Macaca mulatta: one gene and its partners. The protein of the gene in region 2 interacts with the protein of the main gene of each other region in a biochemical or structural test. Links are inferred from orthologs where the notes say so. Each region holds a gene or a part of one and is shown on either strand. Other genes may lie near its edges. The genes, in order: CCND2, CDKN2A, E2F1, SERTAD1 and TRIP12.

Region 1 (3,512 bases), on a different chromosome or scaffold from region 2:
CCTGTCCACGATTTTCCTCTGGAGGATTAGAAAAGCATTCTTCATGCTGCACCGGAGGGAGCTCTTCAGTCTGCGTTTTGGAGCCCTCGTTTAAAAAGCGTTATGTTTGGAGCCCGCATTTTAAAACCATATCTAAGAACTATCTCGGAGGAGGATCCCGGATTTGCTCGGTCAGCATCTCCCCGCGCCATTTCTCTGAGCGAGGAACAAACGCCAGGAAAAATCCAGGTGGGCGGGAGAGGAAGCCAGGGAGCTGCAGCCGTGGGCTCTGTGAAGTTTAATCTGTTCAGTAGCCCTTGTGCAGGCCTCAGCCATAGGCCTGTAAATCACATGATCCCTTAACTCAATAAAAGCCCACAGAGGGCATCTGAATCCCCCCGGACCATCCAGAGGGTGTCATCGTGAAGTGCCCAGCATTCTTCAGCCTCTCCATGGTGATGCATGAGGGCTCAGGGCCAACAACCCTCTCTCGGGTTGACTTTAAACCCAAGGGTTTTTTTCAAACCAAAAGATCCCAGGAGCGGCAGCAAGGGTGGAGTGGAAAGTTTCCAGGGGGCAGTCGGAGCTTGGGGGTTCTAGTCCCAGCTCAGCCACTGCCCAGCCCCTCCTGGCTGGTTACTTCAACCCCTGCCCTGCCCGTGGAAAATAAGGAACTGCTTCTCTGACCTCTCAGCACCGTCCTGGCTCCAACGCCCTAGGACTGCAGCTTCCTACCAATTCAATTCGGAGTCTCACTTGACCCTGGTCTCTCTCAAAACCTTTCTTCTCAGGAACTCCGAATTCTGGCAACAGGAAGTAACAGCCTCTGAGCCGTCCACAGGGCACACAGAATGGGGAAGCTCCATAGCTAATAATAGTTTCTTGAGTTTGTATGGCACTTTTGTCTTTTGAAAGCACTTTGTCATCCATTACTGCATTGAACAAAAGGGAAGAGAGAGCGGGGAGGGGTCGAGAGGTTTGCCAGGGGCGGACACCGTTCTCACAGTGGGGCACCTCTTGTGTGTCTGCTCCGTCCACTGCAGCTGAGTCCTGGCTCTCCTTTCTCCTCTGTGCGCCTTACAGCCTCAGCGTGTGTGAGCAGACACGGCGGCTCTTCACTGCTGGGCAGAGGCAGCCCGGCAGCGTGTACAAATATGGCAATGAAGCAACAACTCAGACCCACTGGGAAGCCCACGCCATAGAGGAACGTCGGTAAACAGCCCTCCCGCCCCCTGCCCCCCGCATCTGCTTGCTGAATTTTCTTCTGTATTTTGTGGTGCACAGCTTTTCAGAACCTTAAGAGGGCGTGTCACCTGCTGAACTTTGTACTCCCTTGATGTCGATCTTAGAAAACACACCAAAAAAATACCTCTGACACAACATCATCAAATCCGACGTCTCTTTCCCTGAGCTGAGAAGAGACATCTGGACTTAGCCAAGAAGGTGGTGGCCACCTACCACGTCTGTGTTGGTGATCTTAGCCAGCAGCTCAGTCAGGGCATCACAAGTGAGCGAGCTCACTTCCTCATCCTGCTGGAGCCCGCAGATGGCTGCTCCCACACTTCCAGTTGCGATCATCGATGGTGGGTACATGGCAAACTTAAAGTCTGCAAGGAATGAGAGGCAGAAGGTCAGGCCACAGAACGCATTCGGATCCTGGAGCTCCCTGACGCTGCAGAGACTCAGAAACAGGATGGCAGCGGGTCAGCTGCACGAGTGACCCCCGTGCCCTACAGGCATGTCCTCCCTCGAGTTCTTTCACAAGAAGCCTGTGTTTATTTACCATCACCGTGGCTGTTCCAGATTTAAATGGAGGAGACTGAGGCAGGGAAGGAAGGCAGCTTATGTAAGTGCACACAATGAATGCACAGAGGATTCAAGGTCCCCAATCCCCAAATGCCAGTCATATTAAGCATGTGCGAGGTAACATTCTTGACCCTGGTGGGGGCAGCAAGGTGAGCGAGTCATGGTCTCTGGAGGTGATGGTGGGAACAGAGCAGAGAATGCCTGAGACCAGTGTAGATAAGGTACCCCATGGGCCATGCAAGCAGGACAGACCGGGGGTTCCAGATGTGAGAAGGAGGGAAAGGACAAGGAGGTGGGAGAAACGGGCAAAATCTATGCAGAATGCTAATTCAGATGGGATCTTGCTATAGTCTCTGGACAGGCATCAAGGATTAATATGACCCCCCCCAAAAAAAAGATTCGATTTAAAAAAGGAAATGAGAGAAGCAGCAATGCAGCAAGTGGGCGAGTCGGGGCTGAATTCCACCCAGTTCCCAACCTCTGGCCCAACAGCAAGAACCCTCAGAACATTAGGGCAGAGGATTCTAACCCCAACATAGGGCTCTAACTAAGCACCAAAGATTAATCATTGCATCTGAATCAGACGGGTGACTTGGTTTCCATATTATGACTCATGAGCCTGAAGTCCCCATCTTATTACTAAGAGAAAAAAATGTGACTTGCTACAGAGAAGTGCAGAATGAGGATAATAAATCAGAGGGCTTGAACCCCATCCACTGCCATTTCTGACAGCAAATACAGAGGATGCTCCCGTGTGCTGCAGGGCTCCTCTTGAAAGACCAGACCCCAGGGGCTGCGTGGCTATGATCCAGCAGCTGCTTGGTCCACCAAGGGGAAATAAAGACAGCCAACTTCCTCCTGTTACTGCTGCCGACAGCTACCAATGACCACCATATGCAATACGCTACACGTTACGTCCTGTTTAATTCACCCATCAGCCACAGACAGTGCACAAGAGCGTCACCCTAATGGTATGGGTGAGACCCCTGAGACTTCTGAGAGTTCAAGTTGCCCCTGCTCACGTTGACATGACATTAGAGTGGGTATAGTTTCAGTCATCACCCCAGTGACGGTCCTGGAGTGCAGTAAGTCTTCCAAAGCGTACTCTTCCCAGTTTTAGCATTGCTCTAGTGAACTTACTGTGTGTAGACATGGAAGGGGCACGTGGGGGCAGGAGACAGAGCATACAGGGAACCGTGGGTCACCCTTCAACGTATAGCAAAAATAATCAGGTTAAACCTACAAAACCAGCCCCTCTCATATCTCCCCTTCTTCCTATACACGCTCTATTACAAACGCATTTTCTACAGCAGCTGTTTTAATGGTGGGCCCATTGCCCCAGCATCAAGTTAGACACTGTGGATCCCTGAGCCAAGCATAGCCCTCCCCTCCCATCACGAACGCAGAGCAAACCTGGCCATCTGCCTGTCTCCTTGGCTTTTTTTCCCATCGCCCTCTCACCATCTCCACCTCTTGAGGGACGTATATAATGGTGCTACGCCCACGCCTGCTGTCCACCTGCCCCTCCTATGCCTTCTCATCTTCTCTGTCGCCACGGACAGTGTGACAAAGCCGGCCTCCCTGCCTCTTGCTCTGCTGTAGGTCCCTTCCACATGGGTCACAGGAGAGTGCTTCTCTGCCCAATAACCTCGTTAGCTCCCCCCTGTGACATTCATAACACAAGCGGGGCAGCCGGCCCATGGCCCTGGGCCCACAAAGGCCCGGGT
Region 2 (4,293 bases):
TAATTTATTAACTTATGTAGCAAAAGAGGCTTTGCAGATGTGATTTAAGTAATGGTCTTGAGGGAGATTATCCAGAATTTTCAGGGTGGGCCCAATAGAACCCCAAGTGTTTTTATTAGAGGGTCACAGTCAGAGAGAAGATAAAAGAATGGAAGCACAGGCCACAGAGAAAATACAGGGAATATGAGCCAAGGAATTTGATGGTCACTAGAAGCTGGAAAAGACAAGGAAACAGATTGTCCCTTAGAGTTTCCCAAAGTGGACCCATTTTTGACTTCTGATCTCTAGAACTGTACTGTAAAATAATAATTTTGTTTGTTTTAGCTAACACATTTGTGGTAATTTGTAACAGCAGCAATAGGAAACGAAAAGGCTTCCCAGGTTTATGATTTGAGAGTTCATTAAACAAGAGATGGTCACCTTTTTGGTTCCTAAATCATCTTGGAAACAAAGCCATTTCCAGAGAGGAATTTTAAAATACTGTCTCCAGTCATAGCAACCTTAAAATTTGAGTGTTGCATGGTGGAAATAAACAATTTATTTTAGGATAACTGTTATTTGTTATATTAGCTTGAGGATGGTTGTGTTAAAGAGGAATTACTTATTTTTAGGTACATTTCATACTAAACACAAATTGCATAATTTGCCTAAATCAAGGAATTATACTAAATTATATTATGGTTATTAAATGCTGTCCTGAGAAAGTGAAACTGACTTAGTTTTCAAAGAGACAAAGAGAAAGTATAAGCAAACCAAATTGCAGCTACAAAAAGAAAGACAAAATGTTGCAGCATATTTATTGTTCCGTGTGTTCACTGAAGTTCTCTTCGTCTTGGTCATAAAACTAGCCTTAAAGGTTTTTATTATATTTCATAGAATGAAAAACCTAAAAAGTAACCCATATGTAAATATTTAAATCATGATATAAATCCAAAGCAAAAAGAAAATGAATTCATTGAATTAAAATGTGTAGGATGCTTAAACCCATTTGATAATAAATTGATATGAATTTAGCATTTAAAAATATTATACAAATAAGTGTTCCTATATTAAACACCAGTGTAGTTAGGATTCTAAGCCAACAACACTTCCCCTTTTCTACATGTTCTTCTCCCTTCCCCATTAAAAATTGTCAAAACTATCCACTTTTCTTTTTCCTTTTTGTTTTTAAACAAATAAGGTCTCTTCTAAGATATTTTAGGACTACAAAGCCAAATTCCCGGGTCCAAGCTGTTGGCAAAATTTTAGAGATGCTAAGTTACCCATGCATTAATTACTTTTAAATCATCCCCTAACTCCCTCACAAAACCGGAGTAGGGAGAGGAGAAACACCACTGTTCAAAAATGAGGAATTGAAAACTCTATCACAAAATAAACTATTATCAAGTAAGCTAAAGATAGCAAAACAGTAAAAATATTAGCAGATATTCCCAAAATGGTGACTACATATTACTTCTGGCACGATCACATGAATGTAGCTCATTATTTCCTAAGTTCCTACAGCAAACATGTATTTATTTGCCCTACTCAGTTAAAAATAAACACAATATGTAGTTGCTTCTGAATGCTTTTTTTTTTTTTTTATCTCTCTCTTTCTCTTTCTTTCTTTCGACAGTCTCACTCTGTCACCCAGGCTGGAGTGAAGTGGCTCCCTCTCGCTGTTCACTGCAACCTCAGCCTCCCGGGTTCAAGCGATTCTCCTGCCTCAACCTCCCGAGTAGCTGGGATTACAGGCGCCTGCCACCACCCCCCGGCTAAGTTTTGTATTTTTAGTAGAGGCGGGGTTTCACCTGTTGGCCAGGCTGGTCTCGAACTCTTAGGTGATCCCCCCGCTCCTTGAGCTCCCAAAGTGATGGGATTATAAGGCGTGAGGCACTGCGCCCGGCAGCTTCTGAATAATTTCGATCAGAAATTTATATTCGATATTTATTCCAACATACACCACAGATTTCCACTGATAATCCCTACTAGTAAGAAAGATAAACTCCATCCAGGCATCTGTGAATTGGGGGCTAAGTAGTCCCAGCACATCTTACATTTCTTTAAGACTCCCGTTTTATCTCAAACCTTCGTAAGTTTTGTATCTGATAGAGCATACTTCCATCTAATACAAATATGTTCCCCCCTTCAGATCTTCACAGCATTCGAGAGATCGGCACGCGCGTGCCTCCTCATTCCTTCCTTGGCTTCGCAAGCACCCAGGGCTTCGCCAGCAGGAGGTCTGTGATTACAAACCCCTTCTGAAAACTCCCCAGGAAGCCCTTTTTTCCAGACTCAAAGCGCTACCTGATTCCGACTCCCCTGCAAACTTCGTCCTCCAGAGTCGCCCGCCATCCCCTGCTCCCGCTGCAGACCCTCCACCCACCTGGATCGGCCTCCGACCGTAACTATTCGGTGCGTTGGGCAGCGCCCCCGCCTCGAGCAGCGCCCGCACCTCCTCTACCCGACCCCGGGCCGCAGCCGTGGCCAGCCAGTCCGCCGAAGGCTCCATGCTGCTCCCGGCTGCTCGCTCCCTGCTCTCCCACTCTCCGCAGCGGCCAAGTGCACGCGGCCGCCCCACCCTCTGGTGACCAGCCAGCCCCTCCTCTTTGTTCCTCCGGTGCTGGCGGAAGAGCCCCCTCGGCCTCTGTCCCTCAACTCCTCTGGAGGGATCGCGGTATCTTTCCAGGCAGGGGGGCGCCGTTCGCGAGTGCTTGGAGGAGGTGCTATTAACTCCGAGCACGTAGAGAATGTGGCACCCCTGAAGTCGCCCCAGGGTGGGCCTCCCCCGGGGGCACCAGCCGGAAGCAGCCCCCGCCAGAGCCAGCGTTGGCAAGGAAGGAGGACTGGGCTCCTCCTCCTCACCTGCCCCCAACACCGCCCTCCGGCCTCCCTGCTCCCAGCCGCGCTCCCCCGCCTGCCAGCAAAGGCGCGTTCGAGTGCGTTCACTCAGTTAAAAAGAAAAAAAGAAATCCCCCCGCCCCCCGCCCCGTTTCCTTCCTGCGCGGTACAACCTTCCTAACTGCCAAATTGAATCGGGGTGTTTGGTGTCATAGGGAAAGTATAGCTTCTTCTTTTAATCATAAGAAAAAGCAAAACTGTTCCTTCCTAGTTGTGAGAGCCCCACCGAGAATCGAAATCACCTGTACGACTAGAAAGTGTCCCCCTACCCCCTCAACCCTTGATTTTCGAGAGCGCGGGGTTCACTAACTCAGAAATCCTAGTTCAAAGGATTCCTTTTGGAGAGTTGGCCTACCCTCTCCTTCTCCACCCCTTCCCCTCCTACGTGTAAAATGGCTGTCTGGGGCAAGGGTTTCTCAGACGTGTACATTGCCTGGTATAACAGCAGACTCTGAAAAGATGAGGTTTATTTAATACGGGGGAGATTTCTGCCTGTAGGCAGATAGGAAAATGGAGATGGAGTCATTGGAAGGACGGACTACATTCTCAAAGTCATAATTCCTAGACCAGAAAAAGTGCTCAGTGTTCTAGAGGCAGAGTTGCACAGTGATCCAAAGACCCGCTTTACACATTGTCCTGTCTCCTACACACTCCTCACATTTCTCTTTCCTACTGAAAATACTTTGCATTTTTCTTAGTTATAAAGGGAGAAGGGAATATGAGTACCCCCTGCTTTACAGGGGTGTTGTGAGTTTAAATGAATTGTTGTATATTAATACATATAAGACTTAAGAACACTGCCACACATCCTAAACTAATACCTGTTAGCTCTTGAATTATCCGTTTTGAGGATTGGCTTGCAATCTTGTTTTGAGGCATAGAAAGAAAATGCTTTGGAGCCGGACGCGGTGGTTCACGCCTGTAATCCCAGCACTTTGGGAAGTTGAGGCGGGCAGATACCTGAGGTCAGGAGTTCGAGGCCAGCTTTGGCCGTCTGTACTAAAAATACAAAACTTAGCCGGGCGTGGTGGCGCACGTGTGTAATTCCAGCTACTCAGGAGGCTGAGGCAGGAGAATCGCTGGAACCCAGGAGGTAGAGGTTGCCGTGAGCCGAGATCGCGCCACCGCCTTCCAGCCTGGGTGACAGAATGAGACTCCGATTCAAAAAAAAAAAAAAAAAAAAAAAAAAAAAGCTTTGGATAGAATTATCACTATTATATAAAAGGAAAGGCTGGACGCGGTGGCTCACGCCTATAATCCCAGCATTCTGGGAGACTGAGACAGGAGGATCACCTGAGGTCAGGAGTTCGAGACAATCCTGACCAATATGGCGAAACCCTGTCTCTACTAAAAAATACAAAATTAGCTGGGCTTGGTGGTGCATGCCTGTGATCCCAGCTACTGGGAGGCTGA
Region 3 (4,126 bases), on a different chromosome or scaffold from region 2:
AGTTATAATACTTGAGTTTGTGGAAGTGGACAGGCAGGGCCAAGAGGAATGGCCAAATCGCACAGAGCGTTATATACAGGTGTTCAACGAATGCCTGCTAGTATAGAAGCTAAGCCTGTAGCTTATTTCAAGGACTGCCCCAGACAAATGCCAGTGCAGAGAGGCCAAAAGCCGAACCTGTGGACTTTCTGGACTTCAGCTCCAGAATGGTGCTAGCCTCCTGGCCCTTACGTATTCTGGGAGCCGGGGCTCCTTGTCTCTGTGCCTAGTGCCTCCTGGGCATTCACTAATTCAACAACCGTTGAATGAATGCAGTGCCCAAGCCAATGAGCCTGCCCCTGACAGGTGGCGCGGAGGGCATTTTTCTTTGCCCCTGTCCCTCCCTTTGATCCTAGAACCCATAATCCTGTTCAGTTACTTGAGGACAAGACCCTCGGGTTCTGTTAGGTTTCTGCAGACCTGAGCCTGCTATATGCTTGTCACACAACTGAATGGAAGATGCTTGCCCAGGTCCCAAGCGGTACCCACAGGGACAGGTCCCTGGAGTACAGGAGACAGGCCACCTGGTCCACCCCTGGTACAAACCCCTCCCACCCACTCATTAAGAGGAAGGGCCCCTAAAAGCCCTTCCTGCCCTTTCTCCAACCTCTATCAGCATCTCTAGGAAGCAAGGCGTCCCAGAGGTCAACCTCACAGAAAATGCAGACTGGTCTCCCCACTCAAGAGCAGAATGACATGGGAAGATTCTAACATCTCTAGGCCTCAGCTTCCCAATCTGTAAAAAGGGACTGCTGCTGATAGGGTTAAATGAGTTAATTAGGTAAAGTGCTTGGCACAGAGCCTGGCACACAAGACATCCTCAAAACAATGGTGGCTGCTATTGTTATTATTATTAGCATTGTGGTGATTCCGGAAGGCAGCATTGGGCATGGGGCCAAGGGGGTTGGGGGAGCCTCCTCAGGATGCCTCAGGGACCAGCTGCCACCCACACCCCCATCAGCAGTTAGGCAGCTTCTACCTCCTTGTCCTGAGTCCTGCCTCACCCCTCCCACTTGCTTCAAGCTCCCTGCTGAGACCCCATCCAGCCTGGCCAGGCCCCGCCTGCACACCAGAGCCCCACCTTCACCCATAGGCTGCGCCAGTCAAACTGGTCTCCACACCCTGCCCTGCGCCCCACAGGTCCCAGCTCTACACCTCCAATCCCTTCTCCCACTGTAATTCAGCCGCCTCTTCTGGGCCCCCCAGTCTGAACAGGTCTTGAGCTCAGCGATCAGGGAGGACTTTATTAAAGGATCTCCCTGGGACATTTTCTCTCCTGGCACTGGGGGCCTCTCCAGCTCCCAGAGGCCCAGCCCACCTAGTCCTTCTACAGAGACTCAGGGGTCGGCCTGCCTGATTAATGAGGTTCCATGGCAACCAGGGCCTGGGAGGGTGGAGGGTGGCAGATGGAAGGACAGGCAGAGGGAGGGGACCTGCAGCTGGTCCAGCTGCCCCGCCCCTGCAGAGAAGGCCTCCCAGCCAGGAGGGCTGTCCCCAGAGGCCTGGCCAGCCAGGCCTGCACCTGGCAGTCAGCATCGAGGCAGAAGGAGGGTCTCCTCAATGGCTCACCAACGGTTAGGCCCCAGGACCTTCCTCCGCCCCGCCTTCACTTCCCCTAGCAGCTGTGCTCACTACCGAGATGCAAATTCTGAGCTGAAGCCAGCAGGCCTCAGTTCAAATCCCAGCCCCACCACCTGCAGCCGTATGACCAGGGGCAAGTCACTTCCCCTCTCTGGGCCTCAGTTCTTCCTCCGTCAGATGGGCACAGTGACAACACAGCTCACAGCGGGGTTGTGAGTTTTAGCTGACTTGAAGTCGGCCGAAGGCCTGGCATGCAGTAAACGCCAGTTGAATACACGTGGGTTATTATTATCACTGAGTCTGACGCTGCGGAGCCTCCAGTGAGGAAGCTGAGGCCCAGAGCACAGAGGAGCAAACAGGGACCGGCCCGAGGTCACCCCGCACCCCAGGGCGGGGCCCGCAGGCCCAACCCCGGCTCTGCACCGCCCAGCCTGGGCGCCTCAGTCAACCCCTCCCCCGCCCCCTGCCGCCTTCAGGCCAAACACGGCGCCCTCCCGGGTCTGCGCGGGGGGCACAGGAGGCGCTGTCGGCGCGTCGTCCCTGGGGTCCGTACCGGCGGGCGGCCGAGCGCGGGGCGCGGCGCACTGGGTGTGGGCCGGGGCGCCTGCGGTGTGGCGAAGAGCAGCAGGTCAGGGTCGCAGGGGCCGGCGGCTGGCGCCGCGGGGCCGGTGGGAGCCGGCGGGGCGCTGGCGTCCTGCGCGGCAGAGATGATGACGATCTGCGAGGAGTCGAGCAGCCGCAGCGCGCCGGCCCCGAGCAGGGCCTCCAGCGCCGGCGCGCATGGGCCGCCCGCAGGGGCCCCGGCCAAGGCCATGACGCTCACGGCCCGCGCGGCCCAGGTGACAGGCGGCGGCGGCGGCGCGGGCCCATGGCGGCAGGCCCCGGCGAGGGCTCGATCCCGCTCCGCCCCCGGCCGCCGCTGCCTGCAAAGTCCCGGCCACTTTTACGCGCCAAATCCTTTTTGCCGCGAAAGAGCCACGAGCCGCCGAGCGCCGCCACAATTGGCTGCCCGGGCCGTGACGAGAACGACGGCGGCGGCTCCTATTGGCTTTAGCGCGCCGGACCCGGCGGCGAGGGGCGGGATGGGGCGGCGGCGCGGGGCGGTACGGCCAATGACGGGGCGGGGCGCGCGCAGGCTTTGTCCGGATGGTGCCAGGCGCGGTCTGACTCTCCGCCCCCAGCCCGGGCGTCCCCTGTTGGAGGCGTGGGGACACGGGAACACGGGCCCCGCCCTGCCCCGCCCCGATGCTCCCGCATCCCACTGCCCTTTCTATAGTGCAGGTTCAGAACAGAGCCTCTGTTCTGCACGTGACCCTCAACCTGTAGCCTTCCACAGCCTCAGCTTAGATTTCCAGAGACTGCCCCCTCTTTTTTTCGGGATCATCAGTTCCACAGCCCAGCCATCAGCCACCTCTTCCATCCTCAACTTGCCTCACCCATGACATTATCCTAATCCTGCACCCGGCCCTATCCCGCTCACCCAGAGCCCAAGCTGAAGAGCGGTGGCTAGAAATGGCGGGGGGACGTCAAGCTTTCCTGCAAGTCCCATTTTAGCCAAAATCTCCAACAGCCAACGTAAAGCGTCGGCCTGAACTCATTCATTCCCTCACTCATTCAACAAACGTTTGAAGAGCCTGCTCTGTGCCTCATCCTTAAATCTGCCCCATCCTTAACTCGTGGCCCTGAGGAGCTCACAGTCTAGTAGACGGGAACAGAAAGGTAACAAACGTTTACAATAACATGAAGCGTCGTCTGGGCGCGGTGGTTCACGCCTGGAATCCCTGTAATCAGAGGGCGGGGTGGATCGCTTGAGTCCAGGAGTTTGAGACCAGCCTGAGCAACATGGTGAAAACCCGTCTCTACAAAAAATACAAAAATTAGCCAGGCATGGTGGCGCGTGCCTGTAGTCCCAGCTACTTGGGAGGCTGAGCTGGGAGGATTGCTTGAGCCCGAGAAGTCGAGTCTGCAGTGAGCTATGATCATGCTACTGCACTCCAGCTTGGGTGACAGAGCGAGATCCTGTCGCAAAAACAAAACACATCACTTCTGGGGAGCCCTCCCAAGGATTTACTCGCTTCCTCTATTGCCCACTGCTGCCTCTGTTCCAATGCTGACCACACACTCCTTTTCTCCATCTGCCTCCCCTACCAATCTAGGAGCTCAGTAGCGACTCCTCCCATCACTGGTCTGACCGAGAGCAGGCGCTGAGAAAGGTTATGAAAGAAACAGACGCTAAGCCAGAGGCTGCTTAGACTGTGACAAGGAGACTATGGTTCTGCAAGGGTGGTCCTTAGGCCACTGGCTTCAGAACCACGTGGTCACTTGCTAATTTTGGGCCCACCCTGGCCTTGCCAATTTGAAATCTCTAGGTGCCCAGGAATCTGCATTTTAACAATGTCGTGTCGCCATTCCAGGTGATGTTTTTCTCTTTCTTTCTTTTATTTCTTTCTTTCTTTTTTTCCCCCGACACTTAGGGAATTAGAAAAGCCAGTATCTTATTTTTTTT
Region 4 (4,290 bases), on a different chromosome or scaffold from region 2:
GAGAGGTCAAAGAGGGAGCTAGAGGCCACAGCTGGGGGTGCCTGTGCCACCGATGCGTGGCCAGGATCCAGCCACCAGGCGTCGACTGCCAGAGGTTCCTTCTCCTCCTCCTCCTCCCGTTTCCGCTTCAGACCCTTGCTCAGCATCTGCAGAGGGCAGGGAGTTATGGAGTTATAGTCAGTTATAGAAAACAAATGTTCAGTTCAAAGCCTGGATCTGACAGTTGCTACAGGTAGGATCTTGGGCAAGTCACTTAACCTCTCTGTGTCTAGCTTTTCCTAGGGAACTTTAAAGATATAGATAATTTTTATTTAATTGCATATGTATATTTATAAATTATTATTATTATTTTGAGATAGAGTCTCGCTCTGTTGCTCAGGCTGGAGTGCAATGCCGTGATCTCAGCTCATTGCAACCTCTGCCTCACGGGTTCAAGTGTTTCTCGTGCCTCAGCCTCCCCAAAAGCTAGGATTGCAGGCGCACGCCACCATATCTGGCTAATTTTTATATTTTTAGTAGGGGCGGGGTTTTACCATGTTGGCCAGCCTGGTCTCGACCTCCTGGACCTTAAGTAATCCGCCCACCTCTGGTTCCCAAAGTGCTGGGATTACAGGTGTGAGCCACCACACCCAGCCTATAGACTTTAAAAGAAATTTTTTTTTTTTTTTGAGACAGTCTCTCTCTCTGTTGCCCAGGCTGGAGTGCAGTGGCTCGATCTCGGCTCACTGCACGCTCCGCCTCCGGGGTTCACCCCATTCTCCTGCCTCAGCCTCCCACATAGCTGGGACTACAGGCGCCCGCCACCACGCCCGGCTAATTTTTGTATTTTTAGTAAAGATGGGGTTTCACCATGTTAGCCAGGATGGTCTCGATCTCCTGACCTCATGATCCACCCATCTCGGCCTCACAAAGTGCTGGGATTACAGGCATGAGCCACCGCGCCCGGCCTTAAATTTTAAATTTTGTATTTAAGTATATTTATAGACTTTTTAATCTGAAAAAAGAGATGGGGTCTCACTATATTGCCCAGGCTGGTCTCAAACCCCCTGGCCTGAAGTGATCCTCCCCCCTCAATCAATAAACACTCTTTTTTTCCCCCCTTTTATTTTTTGTAGAGACAAAGTCTTACTATGTTACCCAGGGTGGTCTCAAACTCTTTGCCTTAAGCCATCCTCCCGCCTCAGCCTCCCAAAGTACTGGGATTATAAGTGTGAGCTGCCATGCCCTGCCAATAAGTACACTTAATGATAACATTATTATTTCTTCAGTGAACCATGTGGAATGACCATTCAACTTTTTCCCCTACAAAAGCAGCTGTTTCATATATTATAATAACGTTATAAATAATTATATCTAAGTAAGTTATATTATAAATACTAAACTAGTTTCACATAGTTTAACACTTATTGTCTACTATGACGTTTCAAACAGTAAATAAATAAGCAAACACAGGAAATGTACGGAGAATTACAGGAAGACACTAAAAGGTCCTGGAGACCTTTTAGATGATCAGAGAAGGCTCCTGTAAGGAGGTGACATTTGAATGGAGCCCTCAGGCCAGAGAAGTCGGCCATGGGAGACCCTGGGAAAAGCATTCCGGGAGGAGGGAACAACAAAAAAAGGCAAAGAAAAGCCCAGAGGCTGGGGGAATGGGCACAAGCCAGGTCACAGAAAACCACATATGCATTAGTAGGGAGTTTGGATTTTATCCTGAGTGTGGTGGGCAGTCATTAAAGGAATTTGAGCACGGAGGGAATGGGGGTGTGAGCTGATTAGGTTTCCGGAAGATCCCCCCCATGGCTGCTTCGAGGAATACTGTAGGGGGCAAAAAGAGGGGGGATCTGAGACCCACTAGTAGGCTGTACTGGTTTGGGACTGACGATAGTGATGGCCTGGAGCAGGAGCTGGTAGTGGGTATGGAAGGAAGTCGGTCGAGTCAGGATTTCTTTGGGAGGCAGAATAGACAGGGCTTGTCGAGAAATCGTGATCGGCACCGGGGTCAGTCACTGAGATAAGTTTGAGGGTCCACTCTTTTCTTGGAGTGGCGGGGGTAGGGCTGGATGGAGTTTTGGACCCCTGGCGCTACCTACTTTTTTGGGCCAGGAAGACTTTAGAGTCCAGTTCCGGGACCCTGCCTAGCAAGATTTTAAGAGTGGCCCACCACACTACTCAAAACTGGGTCTTCGTCCCCTTCCCCGCAGTCCGTGGAGTCCGGAACCGCAGGAATTCCGCCCCCACCCCCGACTCCGCCCCCGAGTCCCGGCGCCCCCTGGCGGTGCCCAGGCCGGCTTTCCCCTGGGGATTCTGGCCCCTCTGACCCCAGAACCCCTTCTACTGCCCGGCTGTGATTCCTGCAGGCCTCCCGGCGCCGTGAGAGCCAGGACCCTAGGCGGGCTGTTCTCTGCGCCCGGCCTCCGCTCGCTTCCGGCAGTGGAGGCGGCTCCTCCCGAAGCGGCGGCGGCGGGGGCGGGTGAGTCACGCAGCCGGAGCCAAGGAGCCGGCGCCTCCGCCCCCTTCTCGGACTGCGGCGTGATTCACCCGGCCCGGCCGGGGCAGACAGCACGTAGAGGCCCGCGCGTCTCGATCCCGGGCAGCCCCGGCGGGCACCTGTCGGACCCAGGGATCGAACTCCGTGAAGGACCCGGCCGCTGGTACCCCTTTTCTTCCCAGGCCCCTTCATTTACATACCCTGCTCACTAGCGGCCAATCAGAACGAAGAGGTAGCCACCCACAACCAATCAGGAAACGGCAGCGGCAGCATCGCTTGCTCGCTCTCCTCCAGCAACCGGCGCCTGGGTCGCGAGACGCAGTTCTGACTTCGGCTCACGACTCCAGACTCCTAACTACCCTTAGCGACCGCCCACTCTCGTGGCTGCCCCGCCCTCCGCCCCAGGGATTGGCCCTCTACGGTGATGGGCGGAGCCTGTAAAGGGCGGATTCTGAAGGAGGGGCTTCTGGGCGCATGCCCGGGCAGCTGCGCGAGTGAGGGGTGGAAAGAGGTGGCTTTTTACTCTGGGGGACGGTGGCGAGTGGGAGCTTTTGCCTCTCAAAGTACGAGCCCCTCACAACTACCCATGCACCTGCCAAACCCGGCAATTAAGCTTCTTACACATCCACCCCCGACAGTGGTCTACACTACAGATATGCCCAGGTTCAAATTCCGACTCCTGATTCCCCACTCACTCGATGCGTGACCTTGGAAAAATGATCAACCTCTTCAAGCTACACAAAGTTAAATGGGGATCGTCTTGCATACCTCTTGACAAGAAAGTTTAAATAGGATCGTATCTATAAGAACACAATACCACACTCAAGCAATGCTGGACAGTTGGACTTAATTGTGGTTAAGGGCGGCAGTGAGGTGGGAGTGCGGAATCACATCCCGGGCTCCATTCCCTAAGCAGCTGTGTGACCTGGGGCAAGTGTTTTAATCCCTTCGGGTCTTTTTCTCCTTTAACATGAGAGAAAATAGCCCCTAGTTTAGAGGATTGTTTTAAGGATTAAATAAAACAATTCATGCAAAATCCTCAGAGTGGGGTGCAATGTGTTTTGTGGTTTTTTCATTTTATTTATTTATTTATTTATTTATTTATTTATTTATTTAAGACAGATTCTCACTCCGTCGCCCAGGCTGGAGTGCAGTGGCACGATCTCAGTTCACTGTAACCTCCGCCTCCCAGGTTCAAGCAATCATCCTGCCTCAGCCTCCTGAGTAGCTGGGAATACAGGGGTGTGCCACCATACCCGGCTAATTTTTGTATTTTTAGTAGAGGTGGGTTTTCACCTCGTTGGCCAGGCAGATCTCAAATTCCTCACCTAAGGTAATCCGCCCTCTCAGAGTACTGGGATTAGAGCCCTGAGATGCCGCGCCCAGCTGCCTTTTTTTTTTCTTTACTTTTTATTTTATTTTATTTTGTTTTTGAGACAGGGTCTCGCTCTGTCACCCAGGTTGGAGTGTAGGGGTGCCATCTCAACTCACTACAGCCTAGACCTCCAGGGTTCAAGCCATCCTCCTGCCTCAGACCCCCAAGCAGGTGGGACTACAGGCACATGCCACCGTGCCTGGTTAGCAACACGTTTCCTTGTTAGCAGTAATAGCTGTTGTAATAAGACAAGCTTTTAGTTCAAGATGAATAGACATGCAGGATGGGGCTAGAGGTAGACAGGGTATAATACTCCTCCCTTGGCTGGATGCAGTGGCTCACACCTGAATACTCTCTCACCTAGATTTAATTGATAGTTGTTGGCCAGGCAACAACTGTAATCCCAGTACTTTGGGAGGCCAAGGCA
Region 5 (3,512 bases), on a different chromosome or scaffold from region 2:
TCCGTTTAAAAATATGATACTAACAATGCCTTAGAGTTAGACAATATTATTTTTCCATGGAAGACCCCCCCCCACCCCCCTCCCTGCCACCATCACAGTAATTTTCTCACACTGGTTTCCCTGGTCCACAGGAATAAGGGCCCTGTGGCACTTTTTTTCACACAACTAAGTTTGTTCAATATAAAAGGCTCTTGATTTTGAGATTGTTATGTTTTTGGTGTTAAAAAATGCCATTTTCTTTTACGAAATGATGGTGGTATGATTTTTTATTATTTTGCTTGCTATAAGTAAACGGCAACTGTTTTGAGTCCCTCAGATTTATTTTTTTGGTGCCTTTACTTAATGCAGCCTAGTAACAAAGGATTTGCAGACCCTACTTGAAAACCCTCAATCTGTTCAGTCCTAAGCCTTGCATTAAATAACCAAGTCTCTTTTACCAGATTTTTAATTTTGAGGTATTCGTCTCGTTACAAACTGGATATGAAATATCCGGGAAATTTCTCTAACAGTGAACTTAACTTTAAACAGTTTGTTTCTATTCCTCCAGCCATTTTACCGTTTTCTGTTGTTTCTGGTATAAAGGAGAAATGTAGAGGAGCCAGCTTTCCTTCATTATAATGTTTATTTGGGTTTGGGAGGGGAAAGTGAAATTTTTATAAGCCAAGGCATTTTATATGTAAGATAAAATGGGAAGACTGTCAAACTTATCAATACCCTACTAATAGGATTCCAAGCGTTGACTATAACAACGTCCGTTACTCTTTTAGCGATGATAGGACCTTGGCTGCACTGGCTTCACCTTTCTGACTTTGATCAAAACTTACTTTGATCTTTTGTCCTTTAGATGGAGTGTGCCCATCAGTATCAAATCCTTTAGAAGTTTACCTCATTCCCACACCACCTGAAAATATAACATTTGAAGACCCGTCATTAGATGTGATCCTTCTTTTAAGAGTTTTACATGCTATCAGTCGATACTGGTATTACTTGTATGATGTGAGTAACGTTGCCTACTTAAGAAGTTTTCATGGTCTGTGATTGATAAATTTCCTATTGCACTAGAAATGGAAATAGTGATTCAGCTAAATACAGGGATCCTAGCCTAGTAAAGTATAATGTACGCATCAGTGGAAACTTCTCCCCCACTTTTTCTCCCGGTCTAGTCTAAGACTAAAGGCTTAGATTAATTCTCTTGGCAGATTTGTAAAATTTTCTCTAGCAATAAATTTATGAAATTAAGCTACAATATGAAACTTGAACATGGATTTATTATAGTTAAAATTCTTTAGGTACATGTAACGAGAAGTTTATATATCAAGTAAAAGTTGGGTAACAGTTGCATGCTGCCGTTGATATTTATACAGCATAGAGAAGAGTAAAGGAATTGGCCCTGCATGAAACATTAGCTGCAACATCACTGAATGATTGAGCCAGCAGCAGTGGCTGGGGGCGGTGCCCAGCAGTGGCAAGGGGTACATGTGAGGGCTTAACAGTGTATTGTGGGAATTGTTGTTTTAGGTGGGACACAGTAATGAGAGGCTGTGTGTTGTATGTCGGCAACCAGCACTGAATTCAGGGTACTTTGCATGGATTTGGGGATAATGGAAGAGATTGTGAATATAATCCTAATGTTTTACTACATGTAGACTTTTTTTTTTTAAAACATTTTACAGAATGCAATGTGCAAGGAAATTATTCCAACTAGTGAATTTATTAACAGTAAGTTAACAGCAAAAGCAAATAGGCAACTTCAAGATCCTTTAGTAATCATGACAGGAAACATCCCAACATGGCTTACTGAGCTAGGAAAAACCTGGTAAGACAATCACTTCTGTAATGGTGGCCTTGGAAATGTTACTGGGTTGGTCTTGATGTATTTTGTTACAGAAACATTGTCTTTACTGGACCTAGTCAAATGTTTATTAATACCGTTGATCACAACTTGCTTAATTGTGTGGCTTTAGCATGTAAACAGACTAGGCAAGTTTGGGGGCTGGATCTTCTTGGTAGTATGTGTCTTATGTATGAAATAGGAAAGTACACATAGCAGTTTGGCTGAAGATAGTCAAAATTATCTGTTCTCATAAAATTGGATTCCAAAGGTGTAGTTGCTTGATTCTCTGAGCCTGCTTGGGTCAGGGACTCTAGAACTGCAGTGGTAAATGTAAGCCACTGGCCATATACATTTAAATCGGCAGTCCCCAACTCTTTTTGGCACCAGGGACCAGTTTCATGGAAGACAATTTTTCCACAGACATGGACTGGGAGATAGGGCTGGTTTCAGGATGATTCAAGTGCCTCATGAAGGTGGTGGTCATATTTTAAAAATGAGCTTTCATTAGTCATGTTATACTTCCTTCAGGTAGATTAAAGATCTGTCGACTTAAGTGTAGGATTTGAAAAATTAAATATCAGATTCTGCATTGAAAGGCTACTTAATGCACTATTGATCACTTAGAAATTTCATATAAGAAGTATAAAAATTCTTTAAAATTAATTGACCTGGCTGGATGCGGTGGCTGACATCTATAATCCCAGCACTTTGGGAGGCCAAGACAAGTGGATCACCTGAGGTCAGGAGTTCAAGACCAGCCTGACTAACACGGTGAAACCCCGTCTCTACTAAAAAATACAAAAAACTAGCCGGGCGAGGTGGCGGGCGCCTGTAGTCCCAGCTGCTCGGTAGGCTGAGGCAGGAGAATGGCGTAAACCCGGGAAGCAGAGCTTGCAGTGAGCTGAGATCCGGCCACTGCACTCCAGCCTGGGCGACAGAGCGAGACTCCGTCTCAAAAAAAAAAAATACAAAAATTAGCTGGTTGTGGTGTCAGGAGCCCGTACTCCCAGCTACTTGGGGGGCTGAGGCAGGAGAATTGCGTGAGCCTGGGAGGCAGAGGTTGCAGTGAGCCTAGATCACACCACTGCACTCCAGCCTGGGCGATGGGAGCAAGACTCCATCTCAAACTCAATAAACAAATTGACCTAAACAATTTTTACTGATTTTATTTACAATTTTTATTCTATATCATATCAAAAGTTGTTTCTAATATAAGTTTGGATTTTTTTTTTTTTTAGTAGTTTCTAATTCTCATCCAGATAATAAACTTACATTGCATCTTTTTACAGCCCATTTTTCTTTCCTTTTGATACCCGGCAAATGCTTTTTTATGTAACTGCATTTGATCGGGACCGAGCAATGCAAAGATTACTTGATACCAACCCAGAAATCAACCAGTCTGATTCTCAAGATAGCAGAGTTGCACCTAGATTGGATAGAAAAAAAGTAAGTTTCTCCCCGAAATCTTTAAATAATCTGAGCTTTTCAAAATAATGGGAAAACTAGAAATGTAGTATATCTAAATATGCATGTTGGTCGTGGAGGCCTTGGTCCTAGTCAGCTAGCCCTATTTTCCTTTCAGTCTCTTGGAACTGGGCTATCTGTGATTCTTCCTTATCCTTCGTTAAGAGTTTCTCTCCTCCCCACCCGCCAGTTTCTGAAATAATTTCTACAATTC

The links.
Region 1: the proteins of CDKN2A (region 2) and CCND2 form a complex in vitro, tested with the Homo sapiens proteins (2 studies listed by BioGRID). The link is inferred for Macaca mulatta from reciprocal best matches to the Homo sapiens genes CDKN2A and CCND2.
Region 3: the proteins of CDKN2A (region 2) and E2F1 form a complex in vitro, tested with the Homo sapiens proteins (2 studies listed by BioGRID). The link is inferred for Macaca mulatta from reciprocal best matches to the Homo sapiens genes CDKN2A and E2F1.
Region 4: the proteins of CDKN2A (region 2) and SERTAD1 form a complex in vitro, tested with the Homo sapiens proteins (2 studies listed by BioGRID). The link is inferred for Macaca mulatta from reciprocal best matches to the Homo sapiens genes CDKN2A and SERTAD1.
Region 5: the proteins of CDKN2A (region 2) and TRIP12 form a complex in vitro, tested with the Homo sapiens proteins (2 studies listed by BioGRID). The link is inferred for Macaca mulatta from reciprocal best matches to the Homo sapiens genes CDKN2A and TRIP12.

The regions. Positions count from the first base shown.
Region 1 is NC_133416.1:5,182,143-5,185,654, reverse strand, and holds part of CCND2 (G1/S-specific cyclin-D2), read right to left. Parts: intron 1,587-3,512; coding exon 1,438-1,586; intron 1-1,437. UniProt on the Homo sapiens protein: Regulatory component of the cyclin D2-CDK4 (DC) complex that phosphorylates and inhibits members of the retinoblastoma (RB) protein family including RB1 and regulates the cell-cycle during G(1)/S transition.
Region 2 is NC_133420.1:77,239,031-77,243,323, reverse strand, and holds the start of CDKN2A (cyclin-dependent kinase inhibitor 2A), read right to left. Parts: upstream 2,810-4,293; 5' UTR 2,492-2,809; coding exon 2,366-2,491; intron 1-2,365. UniProt on the Homo sapiens protein: Acts as a negative regulator of the proliferation of normal cells by interacting strongly with CDK4 and CDK6. This inhibits their ability to interact with cyclins D and to phosphorylate the retinoblastoma protein.
Region 3 is NC_133415.1:86,457,664-86,461,789, forward strand, and holds the start of E2F1 (transcription factor E2F1), read right to left. Parts: upstream 2,809-4,126; 5' UTR 2,435-2,808; coding exon 2,174-2,434; intron 1-2,173. UniProt on the Homo sapiens protein: Transcription activator that binds DNA cooperatively with DP proteins through the E2 recognition site, 5'-TTTC[CG]CGC-3' found in the promoter region of a number of genes whose products are involved in cell cycle regulation or in DNA replication.
Region 4 is NC_133424.1:51,532,118-51,536,407, forward strand, and holds the start of SERTAD1 (SERTA domain-containing protein 1), read right to left. Parts: upstream 2,803-4,290; 5' UTR 2,689-2,802; intron 147-2,688; coding exon 1-146. UniProt on the Homo sapiens protein: Acts at E2F-responsive promoters as coregulator to integrate signals provided by PHD- and/or bromodomain-containing transcription factors. Stimulates E2F1/TFDP1 transcriptional activity.
Region 5 is NC_133417.1:135,054,138-135,057,649, reverse strand, and holds part of TRIP12 (E3 ubiquitin-protein ligase TRIP12), read left to right. Parts: intron 1-844; coding exon 845-996; intron 997-1,673; coding exon 1,674-1,816; intron 1,817-3,123; coding exon 3,124-3,280; intron 3,281-3,512. UniProt on the Homo sapiens protein: E3 ubiquitin-protein ligase involved in ubiquitin fusion degradation (UFD) pathway and regulation of DNA repair.